2 linked regions of the Neodiprion lecontei genome follow. Each later gene encodes a partner of the first gene's protein in a complex. Links are inferred from orthologs where the notes say so. Each region holds a gene or a part of one and is shown on either strand. Other genes may lie near its edges.

Evidence for each region.
Region 2: E3 SUMO-protein ligase RanBP2 (region 1) and nuclear pore complex protein Nup107 share a complex: the UniProt entries of both Drosophila melanogaster proteins name them as parts of the nuclear pore complex. The link is inferred for Neodiprion lecontei from reciprocal best matches to the Drosophila melanogaster genes Nup358 and Nup107.

What each region holds. Positions count from the first base shown.
Region 1 is NC_060263.1:26,799,852-26,808,024, forward strand, and holds the start of E3 SUMO-protein ligase RanBP2, read left to right. Parts: upstream 1-3,462; 5' UTR 3,463-3,606; coding exon 3,607-3,678; intron 3,679-4,969; coding exon 4,970-5,195; intron 5,196-5,355; coding exon 5,356-5,532; intron 5,533-5,874; coding exon 5,875-6,187; intron 6,188-6,422; coding exon 6,423-6,733; intron 6,734-6,859; coding exon 6,860-6,957; intron 6,958-7,075; coding exon 7,076-7,196; intron 7,197-7,370; coding exon 7,371-7,586; intron 7,587-8,112; coding exon 8,113-8,173. Other genes in the region: DNA repair protein XRCC3, read left to right, coding at 1-7, 229-450; RNA pseudouridylate synthase domain-containing protein 1, read right to left, coding at 655-814, 934-1,210, 1,565-1,808, 1,901-2,011. UniProt on the Drosophila melanogaster protein: E3 SUMO-protein ligase. Component of the nuclear pore complex (NPC), a complex required for trafficking across the nuclear envelope.
Region 2 is NC_060260.1:13,189,321-13,197,255, reverse strand, and holds the start of nuclear pore complex protein Nup107, read right to left. Parts: upstream 4,412-7,935; 5' UTR 4,248-4,411; exon of another isoform or gene 4,147-4,247; intron 3,799-4,146; 5' UTR 3,793-3,798; coding exon 3,237-3,792; intron 2,418-3,236; coding exon 1,942-2,417; intron 1,515-1,941; coding exon 1,307-1,514; intron 1,182-1,306; coding exon 328-1,181; intron 46-327; coding exon 1-45. Other genes in the region: cytochrome b-c1 complex subunit 2, mitochondrial, read left to right, coding at 6,329-6,373, 6,626-6,765, 7,542-7,733. UniProt on the Drosophila melanogaster protein: Plays a role in nuclear pore complex (NPC) assembly and maintenance. Required for nuclear import of Mad. Mediates the association between the nuclear pore complex and a subset of active chromatin regions adjacent to lamin-associated domains.

The sequences.
Region 1 (8,173 bases):
TAATCAGGTCAGTTTTCAATGATTTTACTAACTCGGAAATATAAATTAGCTTACAAACAAGTGGAAAAATTTGTTTACAAGTTTTTATTCTTGTGCTAAATAAAAAAAAATGCAATATTCTAGGGCTTTCAATACTTTTTACTTATAACAAATAATCTCTTTGTCAGAATTAAAAACAAAAACTTGAGTGCCGCTATGTGTTCGATAACTTATTGTTTTCATATACAGGTATCTGCAGCAATTTCATTCAACAATTCTGAAGCAATTCATCCTACAGAACAGCCAACACTAGGTATAACATGGGCTAATATGATAACAAACAATTTTTATCTATGTAGAATAGGTGACTGCCGTTACCTCTATACTATGCAGTCATCTTACCTTCCTCGCACCCATATTGAATACAGAATCACAGGTTCAGGAGTATCAGGTGTGTGTAAAAATAAATAATCTATATTATTTGTAGTTTTATTATATTATTTATTCTATTTCACCTTCAACAAACACGAAAAGTATTCAGTTCATTACTTGTTCGTCAATATGCTGCTCAATTACAGAAGTTCTGGATTGAAATAATAAAATTCGTACATTTCTATGTAACAAACATAAATTGTATTGATATGCTGTTTGAAGTCCAACGTTGAGTTTCATACGTTAGGACATGTCTGATGTGAGCTCGTCAATAGTTGCAAAAACGCTACTATCTAAAACTTGTAATGAATTTATTGGAATCCACCTATTCATTGCCTCTGAACTTGAGAATGGATCTGCTGTACTGACATCCAGATTTTCAACCTCGTTTTGTAGTATAAGTCTGGGATAGTTAAAAATAGGCATTCATAAGTACAAAAAAAATGTAATATTATTTTTTTATTTTTTTGGAATGCAAGGACATTTCATTACTTTTGTAAAAATAAAATGTAAATACGTCACCTAAACGAATGGAGAAATGTTCTATGCGGTTCTGTGTCTTGTCTTTCACTGTATGTATAATCCCCTATAATCGTGTGACCAATATGCGAACAGTGAACTCGCAACTGATGGCGGCGACCAGTCTTAGGGCAGAGCAATACTTTAGTTGCTGGTTTGCCGTTCCTAGTCCCTGTCTCAAGTACTAGTAACACTGTGCGCGAATCCCGAGGTCTTTCACAGAAGGCACTACCTCCTGTACACATTCTATGATTTCCATTCTTTTCGCGAATATCTTCTCCTGTAGATGTATAACTTAATTATTTGGTGCATTTTTTACCTATAGTTCATTAGTTAAATAGATTACATATATTTTAAATTTATAGTAAGTTTGATATACTTGCAGAAAAAGATGCAATCTTTATTCTATACTTTTTAATTGCTGCTTACTATTTAAAAAACAAATTGGTGCTGATTTTAGGTCAAATTAATATAGCTAGTCGTTTTTTAAATAAAATTTCATGGAGATAGTTTGTAAGTTCAAAAGTAAGCACGTTTTTAATATGTAGGATTCTACGTGTTTGCATTTTTTTTTTTTTTATTTTGTTTAACAGCAGTTTCAAACAGTTTGCAGGTAATTATTGAGGAAGCTAACCAATTGTTTCCGAAATGATAACATGACTTTTGTTTATATGTCCATGGACTAGAGCTAAATAGTATTTCTTTGCTTTTCTACTTTCAAAGGCAGTGGTGGCTGCTTTGGCAGCCTGCTTATTGAGAGCCAAGCAAATAACTCCGCTTGTAGCATAATCAAGTCGATGAACGAAATGAAATTCGTGCCGTAGCTCTGGATTGACCAGTTCAGGGAACATCATTTGTATTTCCGTTTGTAAGGTGGACTAAAAATTGTACAAATCTGTGAATAGACCGTAACCACGTTATATTTATTATCTGAATGTTATCCATTATATTTAATAATTAAATGAATTACTTTATAATTCCGGTTATTGCTGTTTATAACCAAATCATATGGCTTATTTACTACTAAGAAATTATTACTGCGATATAAAACGTCTAAGGTATTATTTTCGTTCCCTTCCATTCTACCTATATGAATGTACAAGTTTCTCAAAAATTTCCGTTACCACACTACAAGTTAAGGCTTCGTATTTTTAATTTTAAAGCGCTGTTTTAACAATTCTTTGCTTTGGTTATAACCACAAGTTTCTCTAACCGTCCTAGCCTCAACTGGAAACTGTCACAAACGAAAGATTGGGTCAATTTTGTGCAACTGAAATTTTAACCGATTAAATAATCGTTGGTCAAGTTTATTGCAGAAAACACAGAACATAAAAATACATTCGTTTCAAATATAGAATGATCCGTTTGATCAGAACATTTATAAAATCGACACTCGATTCAGTTTGTAGAATAAGCTGCCGTTACTAACCAGAAACGGTTGCCTCCTAGGTATGAATGCTCTATGCCTGGGTCTGGCGGAGCACAATAATAAATTAAAAACTATAGATCTAAATCTAATAACACAATAGATTTTGCTTCATTTACTTTTATTACATTTATTGTCGTACATGTAGTAGATCTAGAAACCTAAGTGACGGTACGGAACGTATATCACGAGGGTCACGATTAGAAATTATCTTCATTGTAATATGTCAGACGACTTCAGTCATAATAAATACACTACGTATGAAAAATTTCAAGGTTTAAATGATCTCTCAAATGAAAAATAGATTTGCAAATGCCAGTTGAACACTTTTGGCCTTCAGTTTAGGCTTATGTTCAGACCAACACGTTAAAAATACTTCCATCATGCGTGAAAATTTGGGGTTAGTAAGTTGTGCAAAAAAAAAATAAAAAAATTATCGAATAAGAAATTGAATGCACATTACGTGACTTTATGCCGACTGGATACCTTCGCCACACCACGCTTTACGCAGTCGTACAAAGAATCGCGTGTGCATGTGTCGTAAGGCAATTTGAGGGATTTTTTTTATCCGGAACCGGCAGGAATCGGTCACTGAGCACTCGACAAAGTATGCGGGAATTGCGCACAAATTTGAGCAGGATAACCACCACTGATCTCTATATGACACTATAGAGATCAGTGATAGCCACCGTTCGAGCATAGTGAACAAGGCGTTCGAGTAAATTCGAGCGTGGTCGAGCAGCTAAACTGCAACCTTTGAAGCAGAGGACCCAATAATCTCTGGACGACCACACAGCGACGTAAACAAACGACGGTAGTGCGGCGTTGCCACGTCTTGCGTGACTTTAAAACCAGAATGAAATCAATATTTAATACTTATTTTTAATAATCGAAACAACCAAAAAAATTAGTGCAAAATGTAATTCTAAATTGATTGTACATCTTATCATTATTTGTGATCTATATAAGGATGGTTTTGAATATGTTTTTTATGCCTGTTTCTCGCTTGACCTACTCTACGCCGTTGTCTATGCTATAGCCGACGGAAACCTGGTTACTGTGTTTCCTGTGCTGTAAGCACGGACTCGGCTGTAAGCTTGATTTTAGAGTTGGTTGGTACAACTGTCGTAAAGAAGTTCGTTTGAATAGTGATGTCCACGGTGAGGCGGCGGTGGTTCGTCTTAACGATATTTTTCATCCTTTAACTGTGCGGCAAGAACAGCAAAAGGAATTCGAAATATTGTGGAATCATGTTCCACGATAAGAAGAGCGTTGATCGCCACGTGCAAGATATTTTACGAAAGCTGAAGACGGAAAATGAGGTAGGAGGTTATTCTCGTATGAAAACGTTACGCGGTGTATGATGAGTACCACCGAGTCACCGTACATGCACATGCAAATGTCGATCGTCCCGCCAGAAGTGATCCCTGCATTTCGATCTAATTCCTGTATCAATTCTACCGAACCACATCATCTTCTCATGCCAGCTTATGATCTAGCTATTTTCAATTTATTTTTAGTCATCGACTTGCACAATGTCGCATATTTATATATTATTATTCATTCCAAGGCCTTAAGTACTGGCTCGGAAGCTCTGTAGATATAACACGCACTCACACTTATCTACACATAACCTGTTATCCACACATAATATGATTTGCATCTCTCATGCCATTCCAGAACCGGGCTAACCAATGTTTTGCGGTTTCCTGATTATTCTTGGACAATCCATCGCACGCTGGATTGTTATTACTTCATTATCTCTTTGTTCATCATTGACTTTTTTATCCAATAAGAGACAATTGCCAATGTACTCTTCAAAAAGCTTCTACCTTCAAATATATATAATACATGTATCTTAAATTACCTTATCGTTCGGAGTCTAAGCCCACCCCGCATATAAGACGACCCCCAATTCCGAGACAGTATTTCAGGGTGTTTGCCTTGCTTACCCGCATATGAGACGAGTCCGCGTAGAAGACGAATGATTTCGGTTGGGGCTGTCAACGACAAAAAAACCTTGGTCTATATTTCCCTTGGATAAAATTAAAAAAAAAAACAGTTTGGGTGTAAATTCATACCCGTAACTAATAAATAATATTAAATTGCCATAAGAAAAAAGTTAACGGTGCAAATTTACACTCAAGTGGAAGGTTTTTTCCTAGAGGGTTGTAAAGACATCATATTTTCTGCTGGCCTTCTTAACCTTTTACTCAACTTGAGGTATTAGTAGTGTTAACTTGTATATAAAATTTAAAAATGAAGAGCTTTATTAAAATGAATTATCATACTTATGGCTATCTAAAACCACAACACAGTCTTTAAACCTAGGAATTAAGTTGTTTGAAATGGCTGCTAAGGTGGTTAGGATACAATTTTTGATCAGGAAAATTCTTTTACACTTTTTAAGCTTATAATTCCAGATAATTTATCGTCGTTTTTATTTAACTCAAACATATCTTTAAAGTCGTATTTTTTACTTTATTTAAAATAAAAGTTAGAGCATCATTATAAAAACTTGCTGACCACCCCTAGGTTTCCTTCACCCAACTCTTACGAGTTTAGGTTTTAGAGTTCATTATCTCCAAGGTAAAAATTTAATATAAATTACAGAGGAACCTGAGATGTTACAATATTGCTAAACTTTATTACCAAGTTGGTGATTACGAATCCGCAAGGAGATACGTGTCATGTTACCTAGAAGTGCGAGAAGATTCAGCTAACGCACATAAACTACTAGGTCAAACCCTCGAGGCTCTTGGTCAGAAAGAAGCTGCGTTAGCAAAATACAAGTGCTCCCTTGAAATTGATGGCAAACAAGACGATCTAGTCTTGAAAGGTGGGTTAATCTGTTTCACTCACCAAAAAAGAATAGCTGTAGTTTTAGGACTAGAAATTTTTCTGCTCGAAATTAATTTAACTATAGGTTTATTGCTATAAATAATATTTCTGACATCATTTGTATTTAGCTTAATGTACATGTTCGTTTTATGAAACAGTTTGTGAGATTCTGGCAGACACAGACGTAGGGATGGATGTCAGCAGAGCCAGATATTGGTTGGAAAGAGCAGACAAACAGTTCCCGCATCATCCTGTCGTATTTCAGCTGAAAGAAAAACTACTAACTGTAGATAGACCAAATGATAATGCCGAAGATCTTGAAGCACTTATAGCATGTAAGTTTATTGTATAAATTGTAATTATGTGAATCCTACTACTAAGATTCCATTTAATTCATTTTTCTTTGCTGTAGGAATGTCTTAAAATTTCGAAAATTGCGTACTTCTTACTAAGTCTGTCCTATAAATTTTCACACAAACTAGTTGTATGTGCTATTACAAGTATTTGAAATTAAGGTTTTTGCATTGAATCATTTTTTTACAATGAATCAAGTCACTAGTATAGTTTTAATTGAAATGTCTGCAATGGAAAGTTATTATGATTCACAATAACAATTCCAGTTCACTGCTTAAAAGCCTGTTTTTCGCAATTCTCAACATTGTGAATTATTTTTCCAGCTGAATTGTCAGCCAGACCAAAAGATGTAACATTGCGTGTCAAATTATTGCACCATTACATGGTGAAAAATAGACTCGAGGATGGATACAAACATGCCATGGGTGTGGAATCAACCTTTACCTTTAGGGATAATATCTCATGGTATCAAACAATTTGTGAATTGTTTGGAAAGTGCAAAGACAGCAAGTCTTCTGATTGGACTTTCTGGATGCTATACATTTCAGCTCTTGAAAGATTTGCCGCTCTGTCTCTTAAAGAGCAGGGTGATGGACCAAAAAAATCTATCCCCGAAGTTGCACAGGCAATATTGAAGTGAGTAAAGTGAGAAAGTGGTAACTAAAGAATTAGCAAATAGTAATTAAAAGACCTTACTATGTAATTAAACTCTTTAGTATCTTAATATTAGTTATAAAGTACACAAAATCGAGAACTTCAAGTGCGTCTGAAATTTTTAGGTTTTATCAGCAGTTCAATGCATTCAAGTATTCAGAAGTTATCCATTTTCAGTTTACACACATCTATAAGATACTTTTGTGTATAATTTTAGTTTCGACCAAAACCTGACAGAAGCAGAGCATCATAAGAAACTTTCAAACGATCCCACTTTTGCTGAACATATGTTTGCGCACATGTGGGGCCAATTACACTTGCATTTAGCATGTCTCATGCTCCGAAAAACTAAGCGTGAGCATCAGAGTTGGAGTGAAGCAGGTCGGTTGTGCTCTCCACTTCTATTATGTGCGCTACATACCAATCCACCTGACCCTACTGCGCTTTGGGCAACAAAACTGAAGGATCTGCGCAGAGCTCAAGTTAACCTATGGTATCGAGAAGGATCTTACAGATGCAGTCAAGCTGGTAAGTTATAATCCTCATCAAATCGCCTCAGTAATTTGGTACATAGATAGGATACGAGTGTAATACTTTTTGTCTACTTGCTTTTGTAATGGTATAGTTACTTCTAGCAAACAAAATATTTTCTAGGACATGTACTTCAAGACTATGCAAGAAATGATACAAAAAGATTCTTAGACAAAATTGACAAATTTTGTACTGGTGCTTGGAGGGAACGAGTTTATCAGGTAAAAGATAGTTTTTTCACCTGATAGATGTGTATTTATTAATTACAGAATATTTCTGACAATCTGAGACAAGACTTGTATCAAATGCATTGAGTTTAATTAAAAAATTTTTCTGCAGAGAATATTTGTAAGTCGGGTGCAACAGCAATTGATGAAGAGCTCATACTTTGCCAATCATTCTTCTCCAAATCCTTCACTTAGGCTTTGCACATATAATGAGCTGAAACATCATGACGAAGGTTTGTTATACTAAGCTATGCCTTTACTGCCGAGCAATGTTTATTCACAGATGAAATTTGAAATTCCTAGCCACTGACAGTTGTCTGTTAATATTATGCAAGCCAAATCATGAGACCTTACGCCAAGAAGTCCATTGGCATGAATTATTAAATACATTTGTAATTCTGTTCCAGTCTCAGAAGAGGTTTGGCCAAGCTCATTACACCATCAAGTTTGGTTGGGCATCAAACATCGGCCACATCATAATAATCACAACAACTTTATTGGCCCTCAACCTCATCAATATTGCCACATATTCCCCGAATTGCAGTTTTCTGTCTACAATCTGAGCCATGGAGGAGCAGACAGTTTGAGTCGGCTAGATATCGATGCATTTTTGAATGCTGCAGGTTAGTATTTTAGTCAGTAAGAATTCTGAGGAGATGGGATGAAAATGTGACGAACTGCTGTAGAATGTGTGCCATGTATATATAGATTCCTCACACTTGTTTCTACCTTACTATTGACACTACAGAAAGTTTTCAAGTTAGCGATAGGTCAGTCGAAATGAATATAGACAAATACAAATCGGTATTGATTTGAACTGGGTGTGAATCGCTTTTTATTTGTTCTACTATATTTTGAGATTAGAGTAGTGTTTTATTTCAGTCGGCCACCGAATCTACAGTGCATTTCTTGATCAATAGTAAATAAAACAATTCTGCTATATAAAAGTATGTATAAGATTATTTTTTAGAAGGTTTAATCGCGATTTGCTGGTGGCTCTTGATATATTTGGATTTGATATTCTTTTTCGTTGACAAGTAATCAGATGCACACGTTCAAAATATTAAACACATTTGATTTTTTAATTATATATTCTCTTTGTGCGAACGCATGGATGTATGTGTATGTACGTGTATGATTGTGTGACAGTTTTGTGCGCCTCTGTCATTGTGGAGGATCAACAACGGAGTGGGTTCTGGAGTCCCGACAG
Region 2 (7,935 bases), on another chromosome or scaffold:
AGACGGATATTCGGTCATAATTACTTCAATCGAATCCATGGGAATCTATATAATAATAGAGTGTTTGAAAAAATTAAGGTCAACTTTCAAGTTTAGATAAAATTAGGTAACATAATTATCTACTAATAACAGAACGTTTAATCTAGCCAGCACTTTGAACGTTGACATTAATGTAGACTCAACTGTCGAAACGATGACGCTCGAATTTTTTATTCGTTTAGATGAAAAAGGTTCAGTCTACATATTTCATAATTTTTCTAAAATTTTTGATATTGAAAACCATTTAAAGTAGCATGAACACGTTTGGCATACAATAATATACTCCACCTTGTTCAACGCTTTCCTGGCAGCATCAATTTTCTCGATAGAAAGAAAATACCTAATCAAAGCATTGGCTTGCCACAAAGCTTCCTCCCGCTGACTTTGATAGAATACAACCCAGTCAAGCGCATCAATTTTTTCTTGATCAGCTTCTGTAATACTGCCTTTCAGATCCAAAGAGTTGACTTCCTGATTTTTCTGCCTTATATTTTCCACGACCAATTTGGTTATTGCCTCCACATGTAAATTAGTTGACTCTGCCGCAGCAAGGCACTGTTTGCGAAGTTCATATTCCCGTATATTTTCCAAATATTTCGCGTAAGTTGTAACTTGCTCCTCTTGCGGAAGAGTCGCTGTATAAAACGCAACTAAATTCGGGTCACCCATTTCGATTAAAACATGTACGTAAGTGGTCAATATCTTGTGCTCTATTCTCTCATTGGCAGTTTTACCAATTTGTCTCAAAAACAGAGTTAAATGGGCGACAAAACGTAGGAATTGTGACGTGCAGGTACCAGAGTCTACAAATGACTCAATTTCTTCCATTAGCTTTGGAATTTGATCAAGCATCAAATATTTTTGTATCAAATGATCAGGTTTGTGGGATTGCATTCGAATACTCGAATATTTTGAGGCTTGCAATGCATCAAATACTTCTTCAATTGTCATCTCGTTTTTCCAATAATCTTCCGGCATTGGCGTGTAGTTCTTTAAAACTCCAGCTCTCAACTCTTTTTCTACTTTGATATCTAGCAATGTTTTGATGTGTGCCCATAATGCGTCTTGCCAAGACTTTGATACACATAACAGCTGATTAAGATTCCCACACAAGCTAGCGTATATGGCACGATAATATTCGCCTGAAATAATTTGGCAAAAAAAAGGTACACTACAAAATTTTTCGAGTACTTAATGTAAAATTTCAATTTGAGTAACACAACTTCAAGTTGAAAACAAAAGTTTCACAATCTAACTGTTTACTTACCTACTCGATTATCCTGCGATAACTCCCATGCACATAATTTCCACACACTCCTGTTAGGATTACCTTCAATTGGAAGTTTTGTGTTATTGAGGGGATTAGTGTAGTTTGGATCATGATGCGGTGTCCATCCTAATAGGCAGGCAGCTCGCCATGGTTGACCACAATGAACAGATAGAGACTGTGCCTTTTGCAACCGTCCACATCTTACCTATATAAACATTTTTTTCCGTTTTGACGTGCAAAGACAGACAAGATTAAGAACAAAATTGCTGAATACGAAAAAGTAATATCCTACCATGGTATTTGTTGATAGATACAATACATATTACACGCTAAGAATTATAAATAGTGCTTAAATGATTTTGTTTGATGATATTTGCAACAAATAATATGATCGTGATATACCAGAAATAATTTAAAGTTGAGAAGTGATCGAATATCATTCAAGATAAATGTTATTTGAAAGAAAAGGAATATGAAAAACCTACACGGATTCTTTAGACATTGGCACAAAGTTATCTAAAATTTTCAAATTCATAAATTTGATCACAAAAATTGGTGAAAAAAAAAAAAAATATTCTTTAAACAAAATCGAATGAGTGGTGATGATTCCTCCATAGGAGAATAATACATACCTCTAAATACATTCTTTTTTCTAATCTAACATCGTCTTCTTTGTCCAAGTCGTGTAAGGGCCTGCCTTCTCGGATCGGTGCATCAGGGTCTAAGGATGTTACTATGGGCCGAGATGATTTGAAGGTGATTCCCGTATTTAGATTTTGTAGTTGATGAAGAGTATTTTCCCATGCTACAGTTTTATCGGTAAAATGCTCCATCATTGGTAAACTATCAGCTTGATCAGATGCGTTTTTTTCCAACCAATCGACAATTAGCTGGTACTCAGTAATCGAGGGTTCATTTCTGTACAAGTTTTCAATCACATCCTTTTCTGAAATATTAGTTTTCAGTTCCATGTCTACTTTTGACTGAAAGTTTGAGGAGTTTACACGGTGTTGGTACAGACAGTACACTAAACGCCAAGTATTTCTTTCATTTTCAAGGTTGATCTCTTCCTCCGATACTTCAGTGTTTTCGACCTTTGACTGCATACCTGTTCAATATGAGAATCCTTAATAAAATTACACATTATGTCGCTAGAATTTTGAGGTAGAATCAATAAATATAATAAGTACAGGTGAAGGCTAATCTTTCAGTATCAAAGTACTTTTTAATACACTCTCAGTGCAAAAAATATCAATCACATCGCTTTTCATAGGTACTAAGGAGAAACCGAATTGGCTATTCTGCCTTTCATTGATATGACCCTTGAAAATTAATTGTGACATTATTCCTTTCTTTTGCTTTTAAACAGAGCACTACAGTTTTATGCAAATCTGAATGAAAAATGTATTCTGTTCAAATTCGTTACTTTATTTCAAGGTAAGACCTAGACATAATTTTTCGTACGCTTTACAATAATGGACAGAGCCACCAGAATTTTGGCAATTCTTTGTATTGAGTTTCAATAGATTGACAGTGTGTTTTCTTCATCAAGACGTATAAAAATAGTGATCAAGATGACAACAAATTTTTTAAACGTAACAGTAATGAAAAATACTCACTCTATCTTCCATTTGAATATTGTAATTTCAATCGATAAAGACAAGAAGTAATTGAATGGTATTTTTGAAACACTTGTTGATACTGAAACCATTTGTACCGTTAATGAATAAATGACTTTTCTCATAATTTTCATAGTATTTCAATCACCTGTTTTGTTTTGAAACTATTCTATTTTCATTTGAGATTTATAAAATTCCAGAATTTAAAAATATGTGTATAATGAACTGGAAATTATGATGACTATTTTAAAATAGAAATTACCATTACATATTTGTGTATGTCGGATAGTGAACGAATTAGTACCTACCCCGCATTATCTCTAATGTATCTGTGCAAGTCTGTATGAAATCTGCAATGGTTTCAAATACTTGGGGTGTAGCCCTGTGTGCCTGAACACTTTCAAGGAATTCATGGAATAGTTTAGCATTCGCTTCACGCCAGGGTTCGTTAGCTTTCAATACTAAGCCTGTGGCAGTCGAATCATCCATCAGCTCTCTTAGAGTAAGGTCAGTCTTTTCTGTCGTATTCATGATATCCCTAAGTTCATGTGGTGCCATTGTAATAGATGTATCAAAGTCCTCAGTGTCATATTTATCAAATGACTTCGAATGTAAGTATGACCTCCGCATTCGTGGGTTTTTAGCCTCGGATGGAAACGACCTAGATTCATCACTAAAATTTCTGGGAACATTTTCAATGGAATCCGAGCTTCTCTCGAGATTGAAATTCGGTTGCAATGATATTCGTTTAGGCGTTGTGCTCTTAGTTGCTAATCGCAGCAACGAAGTTCTCTGTGTTCTACCCGAGCCCAGCAACTGGATTGAATGGTCGAGGTTGTCTGCAGTTTTTTGCAACGGCTCCATCTTGATCTGATGTAATAATTACAATGATTAAATAATAATCCAAGTGGTCACAGCATTCTATTGAGTGAAAAACGATGAAAGCGAGGGCAATAACATAGCTAATAGTGAATACTTCTGAACTAGTAAAGTAACTAATGAATGTAATATGTGCCGGGAAAGTAATTTTTCTTAAAGTTTGAGATTACGGTGGATATTAGCGGAAAATGCAACGTTTGCCGATGATTTTTGATGACAGGTAGTTCAGCACTTAGAAAGAACTACTGTTTCGTCACACGAAATTCAATTTATATCGATAACCAATAAAAAGAACTCGCGATTCCGTAATAGATGCATGCATGTAATTTGACTGCTAACCGTAAGATTAATACGAGTATCAGGTTAATTCATTTTTCCCAGTGTTGCAATTTGCAAGTATGCACGGACTCAACACAATAAGAATTCAAAACTTGTTGCACCTTGTCAATATTTTCAGAATACAAATTTGGACAAGAATTTTGATAACTGAAACAACGTAGGTTAGCACAGTACGGAATTGCTGCCGGTTACTATGCAATATGTACAAATTGGCGGGCCAGTCTTCACGTGGTGTACGGATCAAAGCCTTTAGGTAATTTTGTACCAACTGTTCAAAGAAATTTCTATATTGTTAGCACGAGTCTTCAGGAAGAAATCTCTAGTTTTCGTGGCGAGCTTTATGACAAGCATAGAGAGAATAAGGCCGTGTTTGAAAATTGACTGACAGTCCTGTCAGCAATCTTTCATCTCTTTTGCGCTTGCAAGTTCACGAATGGCTCTGACTCTGTCCTAGGGAATTTTCAGTACTGTCAGTCAATTTACGAACACGGCCTAAGTGGGCAAGATGTAGGGGTTGGCATAAGTTGAGAGACTTGCCGATAAAAAGAGAAAAAACATCAAGATACAAGTATACGTCCCCGCTTGCCTTATTGCTATTGGTCTTTGTCACTCTATTCGGTGACTTGATGGGCGAAATATATAGATTCGACAGTCATGCATTTCGGTATTGTCGAAAGTACTAATAGATCCTAGAAATCTCCCGATTCAGCATAAAAAAATCGTACTCAACAAAGTTTTTTTGTAGTACGATAGGATGCTAGTTCCATCAAAACCTGATAGGGCTGAGTTCAGAAACCTTACTCGAGTGACTCGTATCGTTATGTCTTTGTTTAATCTCATGTGTTAAAGACAATATGATATCCGAGTTTACTCGGGTAAAGTTTCTGAACTCAGCCCAGGAATGCCTTTATCTAGTAACTTCTGTTCGTCCGTTATTTCGTGGGCCGCCGTTGTCATGGGAAGATATTCAAATATCCAACCAAAGTGGTGTGACGTCAAACGGCAATTCCCGAAATTTCCAGCAGCTAGTCACTAGAATTCGTTGACGAAAATATAGCTAGACGCACAATTAGTAGTTTCGGGTCGCCAGATACCGATTGAGTATTAAAATGCACTGGGCAACTCGATTCAAACCGCCCACTTCAAATAAATCGGATTTTATTTTTAATAGGTGAATAATAATGGTGTGCACTTACCTTAGAGCATTACTGTACATTCTCTAAGGCACATAATACTAAAATGTCGAACTCCGCTAAAGTATTTCTCTGCAATGCTGAGGTGTTTCTCTGCTGAGATATTACTCCGTTTCGATGGGGACGCGAGAGGCAATAGGAGTTTAAAAGCAACTAATTTAATATAATTAGAATTACATGAAATATATTTTAATGGGTTTATTGTCTCAATAGACCGTTTACAGAATACCAAAACCTGAATAATAATTATTTAAGAGTTAAGGTGGGAAAAAGCGCTGCTTGTCTGGCCAGAACTAAGTTCTAAAAATTGGAATATCGTATTAGTGATATAGAATAGTAATTAGGAATAAAATATACGTACATTCCGATCAGATGGTACAGTGGGCGTGGAGTAAAGAATTTCCAGCCACACCTAACTCCATGTGAGTGCGGGTATATGCTCTAAGATGCGGGTGGATTTTCACGCGCAGCATGCTCTGATTGGTCAGTTTACCAAAATCACTATTTGGTGACGTCTCATCACTGATATATATATATTAGTTCGTCTCATACTTGGTGATTTTGGTGAATTAACCAATCAGCACATGCTGTATCGAGAGAGACCTCTGTATCCAAGTGTTGCCGCACGTGAAATCCACCCAGTGACTTAAGGAGTGAGCATGTCAAGCGTGGGCAGGGGAAGGGGAATCAAGCATGCACGTACAAGTTTTTCCTTTAATTCCGAAAGAGAAGACAGCGAATCGTAATTACCAGAGTCAGTTTTGTTCTTATCGTAAATGGCGCTATTATTTATTCCAAGCCCTGAACCCCAGCACGAGGCCAACGCTGCAGAAGTAGGCCTGCACAGAATGAAGTTCATATTTTCCACCATTTTGCCTACAACCTAGCATACACTAGCGGCATCTATCACCCTACTTCGACATTCTTTTCGACTAGCAGACAATCCCTCCGTCTAGTAGGTCTGGAAGCTGCTATTTTATCGCACGAAAATGGCCTGCTCGGCGGTACGAGCTCCTCTTTTGCGTAATACAACGGTAAGTAAAATAATCTATCGGAATCCACAAGGCTGAAACTCCTATGTACGAAATGATTTCAAGTGTTTCTGTACGCACGGTTCACTTTGGTGTCGACATTTCGAGCTATACTGTACGTGAAACTATTATGTAAAGGATGTTATCCATACTTCAGTCTGCAGTTATAGTGCAAGTTTGAAATTTTTTGTAAATATTTTACTTTCGTCCATTACGAGACTCAAAGTAGACGTAAATCATCGCTTATTACTCTAGGTCAGACACTATGCAGCTGCTGCTGCTGCAACACAATCTGCACCTGCCCAAAACCTCGACATTCAGGTTCTAAGCAACAAAATCACCGTTGCTACGCTCGACAACGATAGCCCTGTTACTCAAGTGTCCGTCACATTCAAGTATGTAGAAGCAATTTTGGAAAGTTAATACGCAGTAACATTTTATTTATTACCTTTTTTCAATTTGTCCACTTGGGGCGACTTGTGGTAGTCCAGAGCAGTATCTTTCCAATATAAGTACAATACTATTATGAATCAACTCTTTGTTGGTTGTACAGTTTTACTTTGGCGCTATTGCCCTAAATACCTAGAGTCGCTCCAAATCACTAATTCGAATCAAGGAACTCAATAATTTGGCCAAACATGAATAGATTGTTGCCGTAATCTCAAACAGGGCTTAGACAGTCAAGAAATGCTGAGCAATTGGAGGCGATAAACAGCAGTTTGGTTGGCAACTAGGAAACAGCACAGCTATTGATACATATATTTTTTTTGGTGTACCATCCTTTACCAAACAGGAGGTGCAATAGCTAAAGTTCTGCTGCAGTGAACTTGCTAGCTTGAGTTCGAAACCCCAGTCAGTCAAACTGTTTTGTTTTTCATTTCTTAGAACCAGTTCAACTTTTATCATACTCTTACGACGAATTTGATAAATTAGCATATTCTACACACGAGATAATAACTGCACACCCAGTTTTTAGCTGGCAACCGTGCAGCTGTGTATGGTTGCCAGTCGTGCAGTCATTTACAGCTACGTAGCTACAGTATAATGTAAATCTAACAAAATGGTACATTACAATATAATTGCTTATTATTTGAAAATTTTGGACCTAGTTGTGTTTTACTTTATCAGAATTGTTCACTCAACTCAATTTTACACAACTTTTGTCGTATAGGGCAGGACCACGCAATGAAACGTATGAAACACAGGGCACATCACATGTTCTGAGATTGGCTGCAGGGCTAACAACTAATCGCTCCAGCGCATTTGGCATCACAAGAAATATTCAGCAAATCGGAGGAAATTTAACGGCCACCACGGATCGTGAAAGCATTGCCTACACTCTGCAATGTACCCGCGATAAACTGTGAGTTGTCGACAGCTTTGCTAATTCAATCTGATAAGCCTGGTACTTAAAACTATACCTATTTCCATAACTTTTCGTTCTTAGTATTCGCAGGAAAAAATCTTCCTGTCATCAGTATACTAAACAGAATCCCTAGTCCTGACACGACAGAATTTGTAGACATATTTCAATAACATCTGCAATCTCATAATGTCTCAGTTGC